Linked DNA regions of Sus scrofa. The protein of the gene in region 1 interacts with the protein of each later gene in a pairwise test. Links are inferred from orthologs where the notes say so. Each region holds a gene or a part of one and is shown on either strand. Other genes may lie near its edges. The genes, in order: CHAF1A, MBD1 and REL.

The links.
Region 2: the proteins of CHAF1A (region 1) and MBD1 interact in binary tests that used the Homo sapiens proteins (3 or more experiments, as listed by UniProt). The link is inferred for Sus scrofa from reciprocal best matches to the Homo sapiens genes CHAF1A and MBD1.
Region 3: the proteins of CHAF1A (region 1) and REL interact in binary tests that used the Homo sapiens proteins (3 or more experiments, as listed by UniProt). The two-hybrid records come from large-scale screens. The link is inferred for Sus scrofa from reciprocal best matches to the Homo sapiens genes CHAF1A and REL.

The regions. Positions count from the first base shown.
Region 1 is NC_010444.4:74,407,094-74,415,575, reverse strand, and holds the start of CHAF1A (chromatin assembly factor 1 subunit A), read left to right. Parts: upstream 1-3,700; 5' UTR 3,701-3,916; coding exon 3,917-3,968; intron 3,969-7,206; coding exon 7,207-7,257; intron 7,258-8,482. Other genes in the region: SH3GL1 (endophilin-A2), read right to left, coding at 886-930. UniProt on the Homo sapiens protein: Acts as a component of the histone chaperone complex chromatin assembly factor 1 (CAF-1), which assembles histone octamers onto DNA during replication and repair.
Region 2 is NC_010443.5:99,904,828-99,912,633, reverse strand, and holds part of MBD1 (methyl-CpG-binding domain protein 1), read left to right. Parts: intron 1-1,181; exon of another isoform or gene 1,182-1,245; intron 1,246-2,324; coding exon 2,325-2,439; intron 2,440-2,535; coding exon 2,536-2,702; intron 2,703-2,787; coding exon 2,788-2,870; intron 2,871-3,044; coding exon 3,045-3,085; intron 3,086-3,443; coding exon 3,444-3,590; intron 3,591-3,685; coding exon 3,686-3,814; intron 3,815-3,986; coding exon 3,987-4,061; intron 4,062-4,198; coding exon 4,199-4,315; intron 4,316-4,398; coding exon 4,399-4,467; intron 4,468-5,030; coding exon 5,031-5,198; intron 5,199-5,549; coding exon 5,550-5,849; intron 5,850-5,942; coding exon 5,943-6,080; intron 6,081-6,430; coding exon 6,431-6,562; intron 6,563-6,646; coding exon 6,647-6,708; intron 6,709-7,806. UniProt on the Homo sapiens protein: Transcriptional repressor that binds CpG islands in promoters where the DNA is methylated at position 5 of cytosine within CpG dinucleotides. Binding is abolished by the presence of 7-mG that is produced by DNA damage by methylmethanesulfonate (MMS).
Region 3 is NC_010445.4:80,875,954-80,883,759, forward strand, and holds part of REL (proto-oncogene c-Rel), read right to left. Parts: intron 6,160-7,806; coding exon 6,019-6,159; intron 4,744-6,018; coding exon 4,639-4,743; intron 4,535-4,638; coding exon 4,322-4,534; intron 3,114-4,321; coding exon 3,045-3,113; intron 2,619-3,044; coding exon 2,547-2,618; intron 1,175-2,546; coding exon 402-1,174; 3' UTR 1-401. UniProt on the Homo sapiens protein: Proto-oncogene that may play a role in differentiation and lymphopoiesis.

The DNA.
Region 1 (8,482 bases):
AGGCTCTAGAGGTAGGCTCTAGTGCTGTAGTTCTGGGGGAGGGGAAGGGAGGAGGTTCCCCTAAGGACTTTCGGTAGCATCTGGAGACATCTGCGGTTGTCACAACTGGGGGATGCTCCTGGTATCGAGTGGGTCGGGGCCAGGGATGCTACTGAACTCCCCAGACTGCCCAGGACTGCCACCACAACAGAGGATGATCTGAAGTGGAGAATTCTGTTTCTTGTGTGATCCCCAAAACACATTTAATTAAAAAACACCAAGAACATGGGTCTATGTAGACTATGTTACCACTGCTTGTGTATTTTTAAAGGAAAGGAGTACATTTATACACTTATCTTTTGTTATTGGTGACAGTCCCTGTCTCAGTGGAGAGGGGCTGGATGCCTGAGAGACTGAAGTGGGAGACCAACTTTTCAGTCTACCATTTCAACTTTGCAACGGGCCAACTGAAAAGGTTTTTTGTTTTTTAAAGACTCTAAACACAAAATTTCCCTGCCCTTGGGCTCTCTGGCAAGAGTCCTGTGTCGACAGCCTCGGGACTGCTTCCCCTTCTATCCCTTCCCCCTCCCTGCCCTTTCAGAGGGGAGGACAGGAGGAGAGGGGTCCTCGTCCGGAGCCAACCTCTGGGAGCACTTCTGCTCCTCTTAAAGGTCTGCCCACTCTTCTCATGGAGACTGGAGTCCACATGGCGGGCAGGGCCTGGGCCACCTCGCACAAGACCTCATTCCTTCTGGGCTGTCCCCATCCTGCCGGGGGACACGTGCCAACGCCGCCCCTTCGGTGCCCCCAGTCTTCTCCCGAGCCAAGACCAAGCCTGGCCTGGTCTGGCCCAGCTCCGAACAGCGTGGGGCCCGAAGTTCACCCCCTGCCTCGGCCTCTGCTCACCTGGCTCGCCTTGTAGAACTGCTTCTTCAGCCCGGCTACCGACATGCTGCCTCCTGACGTCGGGCCTCCAGCCCGGACCCAGCGAACCGGAGGGATCGCGCAAGCGACAGGCTCCCGGGCGCCGCCAACCCCCCGCGCGCCTCAGCGGGCCCCTACGGCACCGCCTCCGCCGTCCCCTCGCCAGCTCCGCGCCCGCCCCGGCACCGCCTCAGCCCTTTGCGCGCTCGCGCGGCCAGGATATTACATGGCAACCGCACACTTCCGGTGCCGGCCTCCGCGCGCGCGCCCGCGCTGCCCCGGCCCCATATGCGCACGCGCGCCCCCTGCCGGCCGGGTGGCGCAAGCGCGCTCCTACTACCGCAGAGGCCTCCTCGGTCAGTGAGTGGGCCCAGGCAAGCCTACAGGAGGAGCCTTAGCGACTGCAGCGTCCCCTGGACTCCCGGAGGTGGGCCTGACTTCTTAAGAAAGGCGGTTAGACCTTTCTGCAGAGAGGGAGGTCAAGGGACAAGTAGAACTCCAGAAGCTAAGTTTACAGAACTTTGGATGCCTGTTCACTAATCTCAGCTATAGCCAGTTCTTCTGTGCGTCTAGTACCTTCCACCATCATCGCGTCCTGCCCAGTGTTCATCTATTCAGTTGCCCAAGTCAGACATCAGGGTATCTCTTGTACCTCCTTTCCACTATCCCACCCCCAACTCTCTTCTCTGCCCTGATCAGACCATTCCACCAGCCTCCTCTCTGATGTGCCCACCTTCAGGTTCTTGCCTCCAATTCATTGCCTACAAGGCAACCAGAAAGATGCTTCTATGACACAATTCAGATCACATCAGCCCTCTGTTTAAAGTCCACCTACTGGCCTTAGAATACACTACCAATTTCCTAGGATGGCCTACAAAGCTTGCATAATTTGGCCCCCATCATCTTTTCTGGGTTTTTGTTTTTGTTTTGTTTTGTTTTTTAGGGCCACGCCTGTGGCATATGGAGGTTCCCAGGCTAGGGGTCTAATCGGAGCTGTAGCTGTGGACCTATGCCACAGCCCATGGCAAAGCCGGATCCTTAACCCACCAAGCCAGGCCAGGGATTGAACCTGCAACCTCACGGTTCCTAGTCGGATTCATTTCTGCTGTGCCATGATGGGAACTCCCCCATCACCTTTTCTGATTTCAGCTGTCTTCATCTATAATCCATGTGTTTTGCTAACATTGTTCCTCTCTTGCATATTCTTCCCCAATCTTTTCCCTTTTCCTTGTGCCTAAGAGGACTCTTTGCAATGGCACCTCCTCCAGGAAGCCTTCTCAGATTGATAAATGTTTACTGATATTGACTTTTTTAACCAACTGTTATTTTATTGAATGAAGTGGAAATTAATAGTGAATTGAAGTGAATAAATGAATCCAAAAAGAAGAATAATAAAATGACCAGAGCTAAAGTGCTTGCAATTTCATTTCCAAAATCTCTGACAGAGTTGAGTGCTTTTGTAAAGCAGAGGATTGCTAGAAGTTTCCAAGTGCCTCAATGGTAGGTCCTGGGCTAGATTAGAGGATTGCTTCGCAATAGGCAGGCTCCAACCTCTTTCCCCAAGATCCTGATGAGGCTATTATTAATAGTTTGAAATTTTTTCCATGTGATTCTGATGGGCATCCTGAAGGGTGATGCACTAGTCTCAATCATTTCAGATGTCAGAATGTTAGAGAAGGAAGGGAAAACATCCTAATGGTTCAGAGGGAGAAACTGAGGTCTTGAGTAAGACACGACTTACTTGCCTAAAGCGATGTCCTCGAATTTCCTATTTTTCCACATGATTTACAACAATCATACTGATTTAATTATCCAATTTACAGGATAAATAGAATTCCAAAATTGGGCTAAATTTTACTATTCTCACTTCTGCTCTGCTTGAGCGATAAATAGATGCTGAAGAAAACCTGTTCTAAGGCTCACAGACTGATTCTGAAGGTCTCTGTTCTGTGAGAGGCTTTTAATTTATCCGGTCACAGTTTAATCAAATGGTATTTAATGTATTCACTCATATATATATATTGGGTACCTACTACTGCGTAAGTCATCAATAGGTCCTGAGGATACCATGATAAATGATTTTTGCCTTCATGGAGCTAATGATAAAAACAGGAATTAATTCATTAACCAATAACACGCTAATAAATAAACACAAGGTGTAATTATTCCAAGAAAAATGACTGTGTTGTAGGAACTTCATGTTGTTGGGGTAGGGGAGAAAAGGCTTCTCTGGGGTTTTGATCTAAGATCTGAAAGTTAGGTAAAAATCAACCAGGAAAAGAGCTGAGGAAAGAGTGTTCCAGGCGAAGAAACAGCCTATGCAAAACCCTGAGGGATTAAACCAGAAACATTCATTTCATTCGTTCCCTCTGAATATATTCACTGCATCTCAAATGCTTCTGAAGCGATGCCTAGAGTTTATTTATTCTATTTTTATTATTCGTATTAAAAGAGTTCATAATTTTAATTTCTGTTGCTATGTGTGCAGCCTATATCCAATTACGACTTAAAAAAACTTCAGTCTTCAGCTAAATCGCAGTTTCAGGCTGTCTCTGGTGCCCTGTGTAAAGCGTTTTGTCACGACGTAGGAACCTGGCCCTTCCTCCTCCCACTCCCCACCCACATACCCCAGCAATCAACCAATAACAGTGTCGATTCTCAGATTGATATCACCCTCCCCCAATCACAGGGCACATGTTCACCGCCAATGACAGGCTGCCGAGGGGGACACCCCGCCCTCAGCGGGAATATCAATAGGGGAGCCCTGGGAGTAATGGAAGCCTCGGCTCTCGCGAGGATTCTCCCGGAGCACCCCTCTTCCCGAGGAAGCGCGTCACGTGATGCGGCCTCACCCAATCGGCGCATCGGCCGCGGGGGTCGCCGCGGTTCCCGCCAAATACGAGCGCGGCGGCCGCGGTAGCAGCGGCGCGGGCGGGAGGGCGAGCAGCAGCGGCCGCCTCAGCGGAGCCCGCGCCTCCTCCGCCTGAGGGGAGTTCGAGACGCTGCCGGGACAATGCTGGAGGAGCCGGAGTGCGGGGCGCCAGGCGCCCGGGGAGCCGCTGCAGGTCGGTTCCGGCACGCGCGGAGGGGAAGGGGGGGCGCGGCGTGCGGCCTGTGAGGGCCGAGGCGGCAGTTGGGGGCGGACGGGCCTCCAGTCCCGGGCCCTCTCCTCGGCTCCTCGCGTTCGGTCCGTGGAGCTTACAGTCCCAAGGAAGGGCCTTGGGACTCAAAGGGCGCTCTTCTTGACGTTATTGTAGCCGCGACCATTTTCTCCCGGCGCTTTTGCCGTCAGTTCGCCCTTCCAGGGCGCTCTGCGGTGACGGGTGTGTGTGGCCAGGAGGGGAAACGGAGGCCCAGAGAGGCGAAAAAGCCGGCTTTGGAAGTTACCGAGTGCGTTTGTGTCCCTTGATAAGTTGGACGCTGCAGCGGCCCCAAAACTGGGTGGAGAAACGGAGGTCCAGGGTCACAAGGGCTCGGGGACCAGAACAGTTGCGTCTGCGGGTCAGGGCAAGCCCAGGTAAGAGGCCCGGATGATAAGGGTCCCGGGTTCTTGATGCTGCCGACCTGTCTTTCTCCTTACTCTGTCTTGGGAGGGGGCTTTCTGGCAGGCCCTCAAGATGGGGGGTGGTGAACCACGGAAGACCAGACGACTTGACTCCTTTTACCCCCAGCACTTGGCAAAATGCTTGGCATGTAGTAGCTGCTCAATAAATGTGGGTTGTTTGAATGAAGGGTTGGCAGGGACCTCAACTAGACTAGTCCAGGGTTTCTCAATCTCAGCACTATTGACATTTGGGGCCGTCCTGTGCATTGTAGGGTGTCTAGCAGCATCCCTGGTCTCCACCCATTAGATCTCAGTAGCAACACTTCCTTCCTAGTTGTGACAATAATGTATCCTAGGCACTGTCAAGGGGCCCCCTAATTGAGAACCACTGTGCTAATTGTTTCCAGACTTTGGGATTTTAAATAGACATAGAATTTATGAAATAAAGTTGGGACCGATTGTCATGGACAGTCATTTGACCGAGTAAGGGTCAATTAAATGGTTAATTAGAAAATTTTAAAAGCACCATCTGTTATGATCATAATACCATAAAAGAGAAAGATGTCTTAATGCTAAATAAAACTAGAAAGAAAATAATTTCAATAAAGAGCAGTGGTAAGTTTATATACACAAATGTGTTAATTGTTATGTATATGTTTGAACAAGCCGCGTCCCTAGATGAGATCCATTTTACATCGACCTGAGGTTGCTTCTGGGCCCAGGTCACTTTTGCTGCACTTGCATTAAAGCTGGTGACTCAGGGACATGCCAATAAATCCTGCAGTTAAACTAAAAATAAATTTAAATTTAAGTGGCTAAGTTAATGTATCCTTTAGCTAGCAGTGGGAAGGTTTTGTTTGTTTGTTTGTTTTTGGTAACTGAAAACTTGAGAATGATATCTTGAAATGGGTGGAGAGGATATGTGAGTCTTCTGGGTACCTTTCTTATATTCCAAGCTTGGAAAGGGGATAGGGCAGCTTCATCTAACGGACAGTTGAGTTTTTAGAAAGCCCCAATCTGCTTTTTAAAAGTACTCATATACATATATATATATATATATATATATATATATATATATATATACACACATACACACACACACACACACACACACATACACACACACTACACATATATATTTTAACTTATATTGGCCAGAATAACTAAATTAGACTTTTCTAAGCCAAATCTAGCAGTTGTCAGCTTCTAAATTTATTCTAGCCATTTCAAGATACCTATCCAAAGATTTGTCTCTATTATGTGCATTTCCCCATCAGCTTTGATATTGTTAGATACTTTTTTTCCGAAGTGTGTGTGTGCAGGAAAACATTCCCCTTGTCATTTCCTTTTTTTTTCCTTCTCTTTACGGCCGCACCTGCCACACATGGAAGTTCCTGGGCCAGGGGTTGAATTGGCGATGCGGCTGGGACCTACACCATGAGCACGGAAACATGGATCCAAGCCGCATCTGGCTCTGTAACCCCCTGAGCGAGACCCAGGGATCAAACTTGCATCCTCACAGAGACAACATGGGTCCTTAACCCACACCTGTGGCATAGAGAAGTTCCCAGCTGCTGGCCTACACCACAGCCACAGCAATGCAGGATCTGAGCCATGTCTGCAACACGACCTACACCACAGCTCACGGCAACGTTTGTTCCTTAACCCACTGAGTGAGGCCAGGGATCCTACTGCATCCTCATGAATACTAATTGTGTTTGTTACCTCTAAGCCACAACGGGAACTCCTCCTTGTCATTTCTTGACAGTACTTTAGCTCCAGTCTGGCAAGCTCTGGAAATGCTTTAGTTATATTACCTTTATAACTGTTTTATTTTTATTTTTTATTTTTTTTTTTTTTTTTGTCTTTTTGCTATTTCTTTGGGCCGCTTCCGCGGCATATGGAGGTTCCCAGGCTAGGGGTCGAATCGGAGGTGTAGCCACCGGCCTACGCCAGAGCCACAGCAACGCAGGATCCGAGCCGCGTCTGCGACCTACACCACAGCTCACGGCAACGCCGGATCGTTAACCCACTGAGCAAGGGCAGGGACCGAACCCGCGACCTCATGGTTCCTAGTCGGATTTGTTAACCACTGCGCCATGACGGGAACTCCATAACTCTGTTTTAAAAGAAAATAAACCTTATTCTAATTGTACAGATTTGTTTGTGGGGATTAGAGGGGGATGTTTTGATTTGGGGTCATATTAATGGTAAAATCCATGATACAGTGTTTTCTCTCATCTCTACTTTTATTCAGTCCTCTTTTCATTGTCCTTTTTATTGTGTTTGTTGATTTCTCACTGTGTGCCAAACCCAAGCCCGTGCTACAGATACAGTTTGGAACCAGTCTCTCTGCTGTCACAGAACTGGCTTCTGTCGCAGGAAGACATAAACACAGAAGTCTCAGAGTGATAATTGCTCAAGGAAGATAAAACAAGAAGATGTCACATTGTCCAAGGCAGAATTTCTCAATCTCTTAACATTTGGGGCCAGATAATTCTCTGTCGTGGGGGACTATCCTGTGTATTGCAGAATATTTAGCAGTATCCCTATCTCCTACCCACTAGATGCCAGTAGCACCATCTCTCCAGTCATCACAACCAAAAATGTCCTTAGACATGGCCAAATGTTCCTGGGAGTGGGGAGAACAAAATCAACCCCCTGAACAACCACTTTCTACATAGCAGGTACTATATATGTATTTGCTACTTTATTATTTCCAATATCTAATAAATTACTCTTTGCCACTTATTTCACAGCCATGGATTGCAAAGACAGACCAGCTTTTCCAGTCAAGAAGTTAATACAAGGTAACTTTCTGGGGATGGGTTAAATATTTGGTCCTAGTTTATATCCTTCATTGTCTTCTCCATTGCATTTTTAATTCCCCTTGAGCAGAGGCCTTCTCTTGGGGTTCTCAGCAGAAGTATCAATGGGCTGGAAGGAAGAAAACAGTTGCATCTTACAGTTGGAAGCTAGGAAACCCATTTCATTACACCTCTGTTCCCTGGAGCAAATCCTTTATAATTGGGTTTCTCAAAGTAAGCACTATTGACGTCTTGTAATTTTTTTGTCATGAGGAGGCTATTTTGTATACTGTAGAGAGTTTAGCAGCATTCCTGGCCTCTTCTTTCAACTGTCAACCAGTAATGGCTCCAGACATTGCCAGATGTCCCCTGGCAGGCATAGCTACCCATGGTTGAACCATTTTTTATGAAAAGTGTCCCTAATCCCTTTTGTGTGGGGGGGTGGAGAATGGGTTTATACTTAGGCCAAATTAGTGGTTAGATTGTATTTTTAAAAGGAAGGTTTCTGGGTTTTTTTGTTTTTTTTTTTTTGTCTTTTTGCCATTTCTTGGGCCGTTCCCACGGCATATGGAGGTTCCCAGGCTAGGGGTCTAATCGGAGCTGTATTCTCCGGCCTACGCCAGAGCCACAGCAACGCGGGATCCGAGCTGCATCTGCAACCTACACCACAGCTCCCGGCAACGCCGGATCGTTAACCCACTGAGCAAGGGCAGGGACCGAACCCGCAACCTCATGGTTCCTAGTCGGATTCGTTAACCACTGTGCCACGACGGGAACTCCGGTTTCTGGTTTTTTTAAAGCTTGATTATTTGGTTCCCCTGTAGCAGTTTGCCTTATCCTGTGACAACTGAGTTTAATATTGCCGAAAATCATATTAAGGACTGCCATCTTCTGGGGTTAAAGGATTAGGGGCAAACTACAGAATTTTGAGAGTAAGATTATTTTATAAATAGCTCCAGGACAAGTTTATTTGTTTAGTCTATTACATTAGAAAACAGTTAATGAGATGTTTTGGCATTTGAGTAAATGTGGGCTTCTTGGGAAGTCACCCATTTCAGTTTCCTTATCTCCTGAGCTGTTGCCATGTATCTCTTAGAACCAGCCAGAAGGCTGGCATGCAATAGGAGGATACTTGTTTCATTGAGAAGAGAAGCTAATAGCCTGGGATGCTAGAGGCGGAGAGAAATCTTTCCATAAACAGATCAATCTCTTTTGCTTTTCAGAATCA
Region 2 (7,806 bases), on another chromosome or scaffold:
TCTGGTACTGGTTCAGCAGCATTTATCTCCATCAAATCATCTAGTGTTAGTTCCTCTGGTGTGGTGTCTCTTAGCTCTTGAATCCAAGATCCATTTCTTGAAACCCTTCATCCCCTCCCTTCTTTTTGCTGAATCTGTAATCTCTTTCATGATTTCCTTGATTGACTTGGTCATAAATCCCATGAAGTCATGCACAACATCTGGACATAGTTTTCTCCAGCAGGAATTTACTGTTTGGGGCTTGATAACGTTCATGATGTTCCCTTTATCAGAATTCTTTTCCATAGTGTTGACAATTCTTTTCATTGAGTACCATGTGTAAAGAGCCTTAAAGTTCCTTGTGACCACCCAATCTAGAGGCTGAATGTTTGAGGGCATATAGACTACTTCATTGCCTTTGGTATTGAACTCATGGTACTCTGGATGTCCAAGGACATTGTCCAAAAGAACTTTAAAAGCTGACTTTTAAAGTTCTTCTTGACTTCAGGGATATAGCATTGATGGAACCAATCCAGAGAAAGGGTTCTCACTGTCCAGGCCTTCTTGTACAATGAAAGACTGGCAGCTGGTGTTTATCTATTCCCTCTAAGGCTCAAGGGTTATCAGTTTTATAGATAAGGACAGTCCTGATCATGAACTTGACTGCATTTGCACAAAACAGTAGAGTTAGCCTATCTCTTCCTGCTTCAAATCCTGTTGCTCACTTCTCTTCCTTACAAATATCCAGGTATCCTTTGCAGTATTTCCCCCCCCCCCCGAATGTGGCACTTTTGTTTGCATTAAAAACCTATTCAGGCAAATATCCTTTCTCCTCAATGATTTTCTTAATGGCATCTGGGAACTTGTCTGCTGCCTCTTGGTTAACAGAGGCACTTTTTCTTTATCTTGATATTTTCTAAGCCAAACCTCTTTGTAAAATTATCAAACCATCCTTTGCTGGTATTAAATTCTTCAGCTTTAGAGCCTTCACCTTCCTGTGGCTTTAAGTTGTCATGTAACGACTTTGTCTGGAATCCTGTTGAAATGTATAGGTATAGCTTTCTTATAGCAATCCTGCACCCACATTAAAGTTGCATTTTCAGTACAAGATTAAAAGGTATATTGCAAAAAGTGCGTTTTCACGCCTGCTGGCGTAGCTGCAGTGACAGCTTCATGAATTTCCTTTTTTTTTTTTACAATAGTCCTTACGCTGGATTCATTAATCTTGAATTGGCGGGCAACCACAGCTGCAGACCTCAATCTACGGTACATATCAAGCAATTCAACTTTTTCTTGTAATGTCATGACTTTTCTTTCCTTCTTGGGAGCATTTTTAGCATCCATAGCCACACTTTGTGTGGTTCCCATAGTGTTATTCAAGGCTTACAGTATTGCAATAAAGATGATGAAAATGACGCAAGGACTGCAAGGGGTCACTTTCTACTGTGATGCGCAATTTACTGGAGAAACAAACTGCTTACTTGGAGATGATTTGCCTTCTGTGGCATTTTAAGCAGATTCTCGCAACACTTGAACTCACTTCAATAGCAACAGGAGGTAGCTATGGGATGATTACAGTGGTACGACATGTACTACAGTTAATTTTATGCAGTTATGATGTAATACTGCATTTTTATGTTTGTTTACATTTCTCTTGACTGTGAATGGTGCCATGTAGTCTTTAAGTATTTGTGTCCATACGTTTTGAAAAATTTTAACTTTTTATGATAGATTTAGGTATATTTTATGGTAGTAAATGATAAAATAGACTTTTATGCATTTATGACATACCTAACTTTATCTTAATTTTTTCAATATGTCTAGGCTACATGGTTCATCACAAATCTCCAAAAATAATTTTCCAATATAGTTACTGAAAAAAATCCATGCATAAGTGGACCCGTGTAATTCAAACCTGTGTTGTTCAAGGGCCAGCTGTTTAAAACATTTGTTTGTTTCTTTCATAAGCTTTCTTTGTTTACGTATTTAGTATGTAATGCTAACACAGTTACATATTATTTAATATATTTGTGTTCCTGTTTGTGTTTATTTTCACTTACATGGAATACCACTAGTAGCACATGTTATAAATAGGTGCATATCTGCACCTATATGTTTATGTTATTCATTAATGTTTGTACACATGTTGATATTTATACACCTTTTTTATTCCTACTGTTTAGGGTTATTTGGGGTAGGGCCTGGATGGGGCTCGTAGGCTCATCTCAGTCTGCCTCCTGTATTCCACCAGCTCTGCAGACCTATTCACCAGCCCAGTGGGAGGGTTGAGAGGGTGGAGTGGCAGTGGCTCCACCTGGGTACCAACCCATCCTGGCTACCCTCAGCCCCACAGGAGACAGGATCCGAAGCAAAGTTGAGCTCACCCGATACCTGGGCCCTGCGTGTGACCTCTCCCTCTTTGACTTCAAACAAGGCATCTTGTGCTATCCAGCCCCTAAGGTACAAGACACTGTGCGGTACCCAGGCTGGGGTGGCTGAGCTACCTAATACCCACCCACTGACATGTGTTCTTCCTGCCCTTGCTCTTATCTCCAGGCCCATTCCTTGGCTGTCCCCAGCAGGAAGCGGAAGAAGCCTTCAAAGCCAGCCAAGGCTCGGAAACGTCAGGTTGGCCCCCAAAAGAGTGAGGTCAGGAAGGAGACCCCAAGGGATGAGACCAAGGCTGACGCTAACCCAGCCCCAGCTTCACTTCCTGCACCTGGGTGAGTGTTGGTCTAGTGAGCCAAATCCATGAGGGTTGTGTTTGGGGGTACATTCAGGGCCCCACACCCATGTCTTCCATCCCAGGTGCTGTGAGAACTGTGGAATCAGCTTCTCAGGGGATGGTACCCGAAGGCAGAGGCTCAAGACTTTGTGCAAGGACTGCCGAGGTGAGTGGCCCCTGGGGCACTGGGAGGTAGAGCTGGAGCAGGCCTGGAGCTCTAAGGCTAGGAAACGGGTGTCTGGCTAGAGGTTGAATGGTAGATGTTAGGGCAGAGGCAGTGGTGAGGTCAGATATCTGATGCTCCCTTTACATTTCTCTTCTACTCTCTCCCTCCCTGAAGCACAGAGAATTGCTTTCAACCGGGAGCAGAGGATGTTTAAGGTAAGCACGACCTGCCTCCTCCTCACAGGTGTGCGGTGGGAGCAGGATGTGATGGGGGCTGGTGAGGGTCTGAAGGAGCAGTGATGAATCCGCAGGGTGTCAGGGTCATTTTGTGGGTAGCAAGCTGAAGTCAGCCGACTAAAGGGAGTGAATGGGCTGTCAGTGGATACAGGGAAATAGTAGACATTGTTACAGCCTCAGTGACGGTGGCTAATCAGTAATTTTCAGACAGTGAGGAGGCAAATGATTAGCAGACATGGTGATGGGGGCTAATATGGAGTCAGCAGACACGTGAGAGGCAGTGCTCCCAGAGCCAGTCTGCGTGGACCTGTGACCTTGCCCCACCCATTCCCGGCAGCGTGTGGGCTGTGGGGAGTGCACAGCCTGCCAGGTAACAGAAGACTGTGGGGCCTGCTCCACCTGCCTTCTGCAGTTGCCCCATGACGTGGCATCGGGGCTGTTCTGCAAGTGTGAGCAAAGACGGTGCCTCCGGATTGTGGAAAGGGTGAGTTGGGCAGGTGGGGTGGGCCCAAGGCTCACATGAGCTCCTGGTCCTCATAATCCTGGCCCCATGCATCATATCTCTGGCTCCCCCTACAGAGCCGAGGATGTGGAGTATGCCGGGGCTGTCAGACCCGAGAGGACTGTGGGCGTTGTCGAGTCTGCCTTCGCCCTCCCCGCCCTGGTCTCAGGCGCCAGTGGAAGTGCGTCCAGCGGCGTTGCTTACGGGTGAGTCAGGCTGGAGGGGCCAGTGTTGGTGGGCTGGGGCAGAGCTCATTCTGCTGTTAAAGCTGCTGCCGCTGCTACTTTCTTCCAACTTGGACTTGCCAACCTCATGTCTTCTTTTTTCTCCCACCTGTGCTCACCTCTCTGGCCCCACCTACCTGCCCCTGTCTGCCAGCACCTTGCCCATCGCCTCCGTCGCCACCATCAGCGATGTCAACGACGCCCTTCCCTAGCTGTGGCTCCCCCTGCTGTGAGTGCCCCCCCACCACACACACTCTGCCTGCCTGTCCCACACGCATGCTTTTTCTGCACATCTTGGGGAAGGAAGGTAGTCCTGTGTCTGCCTGGTGCCGCCAAGCCTAAACTATCCTTTCTGTTTTCTCTTAGGGTAAACATGGCCGCCGCAGGGGAGGCTGTGACTCCAAGGTAGCTCCACGGCGGCGGTCCCGAGCACAGCCACTGCCTCCGCTTCTCCCGTCACAGCCTCCAGAGTCTCCAGAGCTGGTGAGGCCCTAGTAGGCAGGGGGAAGGCACAACTGTAACCCGACCCAGTACCTGCCCTGACCCCACCCCATTTGCCTCTGCAGCACCCCAGAACCCTGGCCCCCTTGCCACGTGCCGAATTCATCTATTACTGTGTAGACGAGGACGAGCTAGTGAGTGGCTTCACCCTACTTGGACAACCCTAGACTCCAGGGCATTTGGTTAACGCCAAAGACACAGATGTTGCAATGGGCCTAATAAGGGAATAGTAAGGCACAGTGATGGATACCAGTATGGGAGGAGCAGACAATGGGGGAGGAACAGCAGGTGTAGTGATAGTACCTAATGTCAGGTGAACCAATACTCTGGCAGGGCTAATAAAGGAAAAGCTGGTACAGTGACTCAAGTTCATGTAGAATGAGCACACATTGCAGGCACAATGATGTGAGCTAACAGAATGTCAGCAAAATCCTGCCGGAAGCAGGCATCAGGGATATTGTCTTGGTGACTAGTAGGGGACTAGCAGGTAGAATGATGGATACTGTACTGGAGCAGCCACAGTCCTCATGGTACTGAGGGCCATCTGGTGCAGTGATGGTGCCCACTATTGGACTAGTGGGGAGTCAGGCTAAGACTAATGTGCCACCAGTTCCCTCCAGTGGGGCTAGTGGAGGAGTGACAGGAGGAACATTGTAATTGTCCTAGTGGCAGCACCCACCATCTCCCTGTTCCCCAGCAGCCTTATACGAACCGCCGGCAGAATCGCAAGTGTGGGGCCTGTACAGCCTGCCTGCGGCGGATGGACTGTGGCCACTGTGACTTCTGCTGTGACAAGCCCAAATTTGGGGGCAGCAACCAGAAGCGCCAGAAATGTCGTTGGCGCCAATGCCTGCAGTTTGCTATGGTGGGTACAGCAGGAAGGGTCATGTGGGTGGGATGAATACAGCCAGGTCTTCCAGTGCCTGGGAGGGGTGGGCAGGACTGGTAGGGGGATGGGAACAGGCCAGATGGGAACTGCAGTTTTAGAGCAGTGAATGGGGCAATGGGTTTGGCTAAGATTTGCAGACATTAGGCTGGGGTAAATGAAGAATCTGGGGGACAATGGCCTTATTAACAGGCTCGATGATGAGGGCCTCATATATAAGCAGATTCTGTGCTGGGACTAATGGGGGGATTTGCCGGCATATTGATTGGGGCAGGGTAGTGTGATTGGTCATTGTACCAGATAGCCATAACACCCCATCTCTCTTCACAGAAGCGGCTGCTGCCAAGTGTCTGGGCAGGGTCTGAGGATGGGTCAGAGCCGCCCCCACCTTACCCTCGTCGAAAAAGGCCTTGCTCTACTCGAAGGCCTCGTCTGGGTCAGACCCTGAAGCCTCCCTTGGCCACACCTACAGCCCGACGAGACCATACCCAGACTTCAATGAAGCAGGAAACGGGCGGTGGCTTTGTGCTGCCCCCACCTGGCACTGACCTTGTGTTCTTACGGGAGGGTGCAAGCAGTCCTGTGCAGGTGCCTGGCCCAGCTCCAGCTTCCACAGAAGCTTTGTTGCAGGTGAGGATCCCATGATATCCTGCCTTTCTCAACCCCACCCAGCCTCGTGCCAGGAAGCTGGGACCAAGTCTGCTGCAATCCTCCTTCACACAGGAGGCCCAGTGCCCTGGCCTGAGTTGGGTTGTGGCCTTACCCCAGGTGAAGCAAGAGAAGGCGGATGCCCAGGAAGACTGGACACCGGGCACAGCCATCCTGACTTCTCCTGTATTGCTGCCGGGCTGCCCCAGCAAGGTGGGGGCCAGTGATGGGTGGTCTGTGAGCAGAATGATGGGGAGCCATGATGGTGGTTCTTTGAGCAAAGTAACAGGCATGCTGATTACAGCCTCTCACAGAATTATCCCGCCTGTCTGATAGATGCCGCACCCTCCTCAGGCAACTAGTTTTGCCTGCTTTGCTGCCCAGCTTACAGAAAATGGAAGTCTAAGAGGAGTGGGAAAGGTTTGTAGGCAGAGAGATGGTTTTTCTGTGCTCAGGTGTGACAAAAGTGGGATTGTCAGCACAGTGACAGGTTGGCTGATAGGAACACTTTCTTCAGGCCAGCTCTGTTCTTCTGACAGCTGTCCATTTCCCACCTCTCCCAGACAGTAGATCCAGGCCTTCCAGCTGTGAAGCAAGAGCCACCTGACCCTGAGGAGGACAAGGAGGAGAACAAGGATGACTCTGCCTCTGACTTGGCCCCAGAGGAGGAGGCAGGAGGGGCTGGCACGCCCGTGGTCAGTGCTGGGGGACACCTCACCCTGCCCTGACTCTGCTTTAGCCCAGCGGCTGTGTTGACCCTGATGTTAATTCTTCCCTAGATCACGGAGATTTTCAGCCTGGGTGGAACCCGCCTCCGGGACACAGCAGTCTGGTTGCCAAGGTGTGCCCCGCACAGTGAGGGGTGGGGTGGGGCGGGTGCTGGTCAGGTGCGGGCCCTGAGTTTTGAAAGTAATAGCCAGCGTTTTGGCATGGTGTAGTGTGAGTTAAAGGCCCCACGCCACTGCTTTGATCACATTTAGTGAAGGGGTATGTACAGGACGCTAGAAATTTCTCCTGAGGTCTAGATCAGGGCTCTCTTTGAGAAGGGTTATGGGAAGTGACTGGGGGGAGAGGACTTGGTACCCTGTGAGGAGATTTTAAAGAGAAAGGAAGATAAGGAAAGCCTATCCCCTATCTAAGAAAATCCACAGGGATTAAACTTAATATATAATTTCTTACAAAGAATCATTATTTGGGGTGTTGAAGGCCTGTGGAGCCTCCAACAGATGAATGAGTGGGCTGAGCAGTGGTGGGAAGGTAGGAGATCTGGGTTCTAAGATGGCTTTGTGACCTGGATCCACACAACTCTATGATCTGGGACTAGTCCTGCCTCTCCTAGAGTATTCTCTGTGGAGGGGGTTTGGCTGTGTTTCTTGAGCCTTTCTGAAACTGTTCCAATTGCTGCACAGAACTATCCCTACAGGCATGGCAGTAGAAGGAAGGATAGGTGCCTTTAAGTACTGGGACAGTGGGAGGAGAACAAGGGAATACTGCCTCCTGCAGAACACAGACAGCCTTGCACAGAGCCTCAGACCCAGGCACATAAACTGTTGGCCTAAGCACCTGGACTCCATTTTTCTTGCAAACTAGTATCTGCAGGCCGGGCTCCTCCACCTGCACTTGGGCAAGTACTGAGGTACTGATTGAGGACCTGCTGTGTACACTGCAGTGTGGCGGGTACAGTGGTGAATCAGTGACTCTGGAAGGCTTATCCTTCAGGAGACACAGGATTCCTGCCTTCAGGAAGCTTATAATCCAACAGGGAAACAGTTTCTCCTCTGCATGAAATCATTACATGTTAATGGAGAAGGTAACAATTTGCTTGTGGGCTATGTTGTTGGTAATGGAAGATTTTCAGAGAGAGAGAAAAGGGATAATTAAGGGGAATTGGATGGCAGATACAGAAGAGTAGGAAATGGTTTTGTAATGCTCCATTGTG
Region 3 (7,806 bases), on another chromosome or scaffold:
TGTCACAGTTGTAGTCAGAGAAATATAAAATTTTGCATCTACATAGATAAAATCAAAATGGTGACAACCTTTAAAGAGATTGAATTCTTTTTTTAGAAGTTTCCTTTATTTTGTTTTTTATTTTTAAAATTTTTATGGCCGCACCCACGGCATATGGAAGTTCCCAGGCTAGGGGTCGAACTGGCGCTCAAGCTGCCAGCCCATGCCCCAGCAAAGTGAGATCCAAACCACGTCTGCAACCTACATGGAAGCTTGTGGCAATACCAAATCCTTAACCCACTGAGCAAGGCCTGGGATTGAACCTGCATCATCATGGACACTGGTCAGGTTCATTTTCACTGAGCCACAATGGGAACTCCAAGAGATTTAATTAATTCACCATTTAAATCTTACAAGTTAACCTAAAAAAACTCAAATGCAAATGAGTCACTCAATTGTTCATTCTGCGTAGTGCCAATACCTGAATACTGACTATTTTGAACAAAACCATGACTGTTTGGATTAGTACTGTTTGATGGTCCTGACTCGTTTATCATACTGTTATCTGCACAATTAAAGTCAGATCCCTCAAATGCCTCTGACTGGGAAACAAAAGCAGTAGTACTGGAGCTGGTGACTGTTGACATACTGGAAGACGACATCTGATGGAGCTGTCTCAAGTCTCTTGGGTCTAACACTGAATTACAGGAAGGGTTTTCAAGATTCACGCTCACAAGTCTCGGATTATCAGTCTCCCTCATGCTGTCGTTACTGGGCGTTATCATGTTCACAGGACAATGAGGCAGCATGCTGGCATCAGAAATACCATATAAGTCAGCTGGTGACACAGACGATGCTTCCATTCTGCCTATGTCATTTGTATTATTATAAATGCAAGCATTAGAAGTATTCAGATCATTCATAACAGGCATTTCCAGGAATGGCGTGATAACATGTGAATTAGAGGAAAGGGTCCCTGGTGAGAAACCACTCAGTGAATTTGTATTGACTGAGCGTGAGGTGGGGCGGGCCACTGATGACCAGCTTGAAGAAGGCTGAGGTACCATTGTGGGTATGGTTGAAGCAGGATGTGACAATGCACTTGAGATGGATGAGGAATAGTAGGATTCTGCTTGACTTGAAACTGGCCTGGATGTTTCTGTCAAAACTGCACCATGAGAAAACAAGTTTGATTCTGTGGGAGATGAAATGTATTTTTACAAAACTGAAATGAACGAAATTATTAAAAGTATTATTTCTAAATTAAAATTACATAAACACACTAAAAATTTTCAAGGAAATTAATGTAACATTTCAAATAAAAATGGTAACTATTACAGGAGTCCAGAATTGACTTCTCTAATGCTTATTGTTTCACAAATACCTATAAAATGATTTTGGTTATTTTGGCATAGAAAATTTCATTCCAGTTAATTGTGAAAATATAATTTCCAAGGTCCTATAAAGGTATTTTGGGAGTTCCTGTCGTGGCGCATTGGAAACGAATCTGACTAGGAACCGTGAGGTTGCAGGTTCGATCCCTGGCCTCTCTCAGTGGGTTAAGGATCTGGCGCTGTCATGAGCTGTGGTGTAGGTCACAGATGCGGCTCAGATCCTGTGTTGCTGCAGCTATGGTGTAGGCTGGCAGCTGTAGCTCCGATGAGACCCCTAGCCTGGAAACCTCCATATGCCACAAGTGTGGCCGTAAAAAGCAAAAAAAAAAAAAAAGGTATTTTTGAACTGTGAAAGATAAATATCAGAATTTCAGTTAATGGGTCTCCAAAGAGTAAAAGTCATTTCATATTCTCCAGTTTTAGGAGAACAACTGAGGGACGGAGGAAACATTCATTATCGTGATTGAAAAATCCACATAAATTTCTAAGCTATAGTAAGATATAACTCACTCTAAGGCACTACAAAATTCCCAGACAGAAAAAAAATGAATGAATTATCATTAACATTGTAAAACTATACTTTAATAAAACTTTAAATAAAAAATGGAGTCTGTATTTATTTACATGTTATATGACTGCTGTGCATATTAAACTAAGAAAAAGTACTGATTTAAGAATATAAAAAAGAAGAAAAGATTTCTAATTAACCCTAGCAGAATGATCTAAATCAGAAATTGGCAACCTGTTTTTGTGCAAAGGGCTGGATAGTAAATATTTTAGGCATGGTGGGCCATAGAGTCTCTGTGGAACTACTCAACTCTGCTGCTCTGGTATAAGAAAATCATCCATAGACGATATTCAATCAGATGGACTGTGTTATAGTAAAACCTTACAAATAAATAAAGATAGGCACCTGGCAAGATCTAAACCATTTCTTCCATGACACACTGTAATTAGTAAAATCCCAAACAATAAATCCCCCAAATTTAATTGTAGTTGCCAACAGGACACTTTCAGAAGCTGAGATCTATTCAATCAATATTCTGAGCATGAAAAAAAAAATACATGAGTAGATAGACTATATCAAAGAGGTGGTTTTCATTCTTCAGAATGAAATTCCAATATCCTGTGCAAAGCACTGATCTCAAGAAATTCTGTATAGGGAATAAATACCTTTTTTGATGAATCTTCCTTCTCCCATTGTTCCTAGGGGATTAGGTCTAGGTCTTTCAGGAAAATTAACTCCTGCAATAAAATTTTTCCATTATCATAAATGCAGTTTGGGAGTTCTCATCATGGCTCAGTGGTTAACGAACCCGATGAGTATCCATGAGGATGAGGGTTCGATCCTTGACCTTGCTTAGTGGGTTAAGGATCCCACATTGCTGGGAGCTATGGTGTGGGTCACAGCTGTGGCTCAGATGTGGCATTGCTGTGGCTGTGGTGTAGGATGGCGGCTACAGCTCCAATTAGACCCTTAGCCTGGGAACTTCCATATGCCGCTTGTGCAGCCCTAAAGAGCAAAAAAAATTACAAATGCAGTTTGAAAAATAACAGTTATCAGTTAAAATATGAAAAACTACATAAAGAAAAAGAAACCCCAAAAAACAAACAAACAAAAAAACCCTCCTCAAACTTATTTAAATACAAATCAATCCAAAATGTTCTTACCACAATCCTGCCACAGTTTCTGGAAAAGTAGAGTTGTTTTTTGTTTCTTTGCTTTATTGCCATATGTATCTGGTTAGAAAGAAACCAGGAAAGCATGTGAATCATCATGGGATTATGCTTCCTCTCTTTTAATAAATATATAGATGTTTTAGTTCTATATAGAAAGTACGTTAAATAAATGTTCATAAAATGGGTTTATAAGTGTCACAAAGTATGTCCCAAGTCAGTAATAAAGGATTTTTTCTCTTAGTAAAAAAACAGTCTAGGAGTTCCCATCATGGCTCAGTGGTAATGAACATGACTAGTATCTATGAGGACGAGGGTTCAGTCCCTGGGCCCTCTCAGTGGGTTAAGGATCTGGTGTTGCTGTGGGCTGTGGTCTAGGTCACAGATGTGGCTGATATCCTGTGTCGCTGCAGCTGTGGCGCAGGCCAGCGGATACAGCTCCTAGCCTGGGAACTTCCATATGCTGGGGGTGCAGCCCTAAAAAGACCAAAAAAAAAGTCTGTAATAGTCATTTAATTTTCTTGTAACACCTATGAGTCACCAGTGTCAATTAAGGCAGTAAGGGCAGATAAGGACCAAAATGGAGACCACTTTTTTTTGGCCACACCTGTGGCATGTGGAAGTTCCCAGGCCAGGGATCTAACCTGATAACACTGGATCCTTGACCCAATGTGCCACCAGGGAATTCCAGAGACCACTTTCTGAGTGACAAGTTTGCCATCTATCCAGAGGACACAGTAAGGACCAAAATAGAATCTCAAATATAAAATAAATTTTGATAAACAGTTTAGATACTTTGAAATTATTCCAGGTTCCTTTTCTAAGAAAGAGATTCACAGAGCAAAAAAGAACAGTCAAAAATCAACCAAAAACTTTCAGGAAAAGAACCATAAATTATGAATAAGCATAACTGTATTCAAATATATCTTACAAGAAAATGTTATTAGTAGGACTAACTTTAAGAAATACATAAAACAGGAATTCCTGTTGTGCTCAGCGGAAATGAATCTGACTATCATCCATGAGGATGAGGGTTCGATCCCTGGCCTCAGTCAGTGGGTTAAGGATCTGGCGCTGCTGTGAGCTGTGGTGTAGGTCGCAGATGTGGCTTGGATCTGGAGTTGCTGTGGCTGTAGTGTAGGCTGGCAGCTACAGCTTCAATTTGACCCCTAGCCTGGGAACCTCCATATGCCATGGGTGCCACCCTGAAAAGACAAAGACAAAAAAAAAAGAAAAGACATATATAAAACCTTAACATGAAAAAGCCATACCTTTTTCATCTGGCAGATATCTAAAATCCATAGATTCACTAACTTCCTGGTCAGAAGGTCTCCGTAACTGCATTTTTACTGTTACTGGTTCTATTATAGCTTTGCAATATGGTGGAGTCTTGAAAACGATGGCTACTTGGCGGTGTACATCGGCTTGTGAAAAGATACCTTTTGCCTCCCAATCATTCAACACAAACCGAACTTCTATGTCATCTAGGGAATACAAAAGCAAATAACAATGGGAAAACAAGGTAAGATCTATTAATCTAAAATATATTCCGAATTTAATGAAACAAAAAAGAAACAAAAAAAAATACCTTTCTGTACTTTGTCACAGAGTAGAAATATTTCATCTCCTCCTCTGACACTTCCACAGTTCTTATTTACACGACAAATCCTTAATTCCGCAGTATTTGGAGCACCTACATATAAAGGTTTTTTTTTTTTAAATGGGTTGCCATGTTAGTAGTATGTTTTATTCCTTTTTGATGGACAGTTTTAGGAAAAAAATTTATAGGATAGACAAATGCATTAGTGTATAAATAAAGGACACTAAATACCTTAATCATCCACATCTACTTCTTTCTTTTCCTAAGGGCATTGCCCAAACTGCTTTAGAGCCTTATGACTTCATTTCTAGGCAATGACATGTCCTCTAATTAAATCTCTGTGCTTCCGGGAGTTCTCTTATGGCCCAGTGTGTTAAGGGGCCAACGCTGTCACTGCTGTGGCATGGGTGTGATCCCTGACCCAGGAACTTCTGTATGCTATAGATGCGACCAAAAAAAAAAAAAAAAAAAAAAAAAAAATCTGCTTGCTTCTAAATCCTGATTCTTCCTATCCATCCTATACGCAGTCACCAGATTAATTTTTTAAAATTATGACCACAACCCTATGGAAATGCAACTCTCATGCTTCCCATAATCTGGTCAATATTTTTCCAAAAACTTCCTGGTATTCAAAGCTCTCCGTGATGAAGATACTCTGATCTACCTATACAGCCCTCTGTCCCAGACACTATCCTTCTAACATGCAAAACAGGTGAAGTTATACATCATTGGTGGGTGCATATATAAGAGATACACACAGACACAAAGATAAAACATTTGAGGGCAATTTCATAATCTTTTAAAACTTTAAATATCCATATCCTTTGATTTAGCCTTTGCCAGTATTTCTACTTCTGCAAATTGATGCTAGAGAGATTTGCACAAGATATGCACATATAGGATATTTATTGCAATACAATTTTTTAAAGCAAAAAGAAGAAAGTGAGAAGGAAACAACCCAAATGTCTTGTAGTAGGGTCATGATTTAGTAAAATTATGATACAGCCGTATAAGGAAATATGTAGCTACTGAAAAGAATAAGATACCTCAAAGGAAAAGAAGTTCAAGGTATGTTGCTAAGAGGAAAAAAAAAAAAAGTAAAAAAAACCAATGACGATTTTTCAAAAAGTTGCCAAAAACATACTGCTTGTATGATGATGATCACAAGGTATTTGCATATGCATGATGAAGAAAGTGGTAAAACATCTTGGAGGATGAGATTATAGGAGATTTACTCTCCTTGTTATCAACATCAGTAATGTTTGAACTTCTCCTATAATGAATACATTATTTTTCTAATTACCAAAATACTTTAAAAATCATTTTTAAAAAGCTAAGGCTGCATATACAAAAAAATAAATTACTTACGGTTATCATAAATTGGATTAGAGACAACAGGAGGTAGAGCACTTGTCAAATTACCATGTTCATCAGGGAGGAAAACTTGAAAACATAATCTCACCACATTGAGGTCACAGTCTTCAATATCAAGCAGCTGTTGTTCAGGAACTGAATAGTACATTAAAAAAAAAAATACAGAATAGTCACACAGAACTAAAATCCTGCTAAACCCCTCTCCCTGCCCAATATAGGCAATAACCCTCAGCAGCATCTGAATCTGTACTAATGAAAACAGAAAGGTACACAATTGCCTTTTATCTTTTTCATTATGTGGTCACTACTAAACATAGTTCATTAAGTTACAGCCATGGTCAGGAAGTAACTATCCCAGTCACCTGGAATTTAGTGCAGAATCTAAAATTGACATAAATCAAATTTTTACAAAATGGTTGCCAGTTACATACAACAGAGAGTAGGCATTCATTCATTAATTTAACAAATATGTATTTAGTCAACTCACATGTTAAGGACTCTGTAAATTATCTCCAAAATCTGCATAAAAATTACTCTATTTTCCAGATGAGGAACTGATTTTAAAGAAATTAAATTACTTGTCCAAAGTGTCATACCTAAGAAGTGCTATAGCAGGAATTCAAATTCAGGCCATTGAATTGAGAACCTTTGCTCTTAAAAGTTTATTAGAAAATTTTACATAAATTTTGCATAAAAATGACATATACAGGAAAATCTAAATAAAATTTAGATCAATATTTTAGGGATTAAATACTAACAGGGATACTAGGTGAGGTAAGGCAGATAGTTTCCTTAAGAAATTTTATGGGCAAACTAGGTTTACGTATTTAAAAAAACCAAAAACCTATAGTAGGGAAATTTTACAGTTTTGAAAACTTTTTTAAAAAACTTTTTCTTTTTTTTTTTAAATGTGTGGAAGTTGCCAGGCCAGGGATCTAACCCTTGCCACAGCAGTGACCCAGGCCACAGCAGTGATAACACTGGATCCTTAACCTGCTGAGCCACCAGAGAACTCCCTAAAAACATTCTTTATAACAGAATATAATATAACGACAGTTAGATAAATTGCTATTTAAAAGAAATCTAGGAGTGTCTGTCACGGCTCTGCAGAAACAAATCTGACTAGTATCCACGAGGACTCAGGTCCTATCCCTGGCCTTGCTCAGTGGGTTAAGGACCTGGCGTTGCCATGAGCTGTGGTCTAGGTCGCAGACGTGGCTCGGATCTGGCGCTGCTGTGGCGTAGACAGGGCGGCTATAACTCTGATTTGACCCCCAGCCTCGGAACTTCCATATGCCGCTGGTGCAGCCCTAAAAAGACAAAAAAAATAAAAAAGAAAGAAAGAAACTAGTTTCAAAGGAAAATATTACTGGCTTTTCAAAAAATATAATTCTTTCAATCAACCATAACTAACATAGCCATATTTTTAAAAACATGAAATACACACATTAAATTATATGAAAATTTTTATTTTTCAGAAAGTACTGAAATTTGAAATACTAAATTTAAAACATATAAAACTCAAATTCTTTAGTTTTATATTTAGCAATAAGTAATAAAAAATAACAATATAATTTTGATTATTTTTATTTAAACTACACTCAGTTGCTATCACAACATAAAAAATTATCCCATTATCATCATTCTTAAGCCTAGCATTTGAAAGAGCCTACAAAAACATATTTGTACAAAAGGTCAACTGTCATGAAACAAACACCTGTACCACAGCAGCATCCTCTACTGGCACAAGGAGGTAGGCAATGAGAGATCTACCTCTTCAAA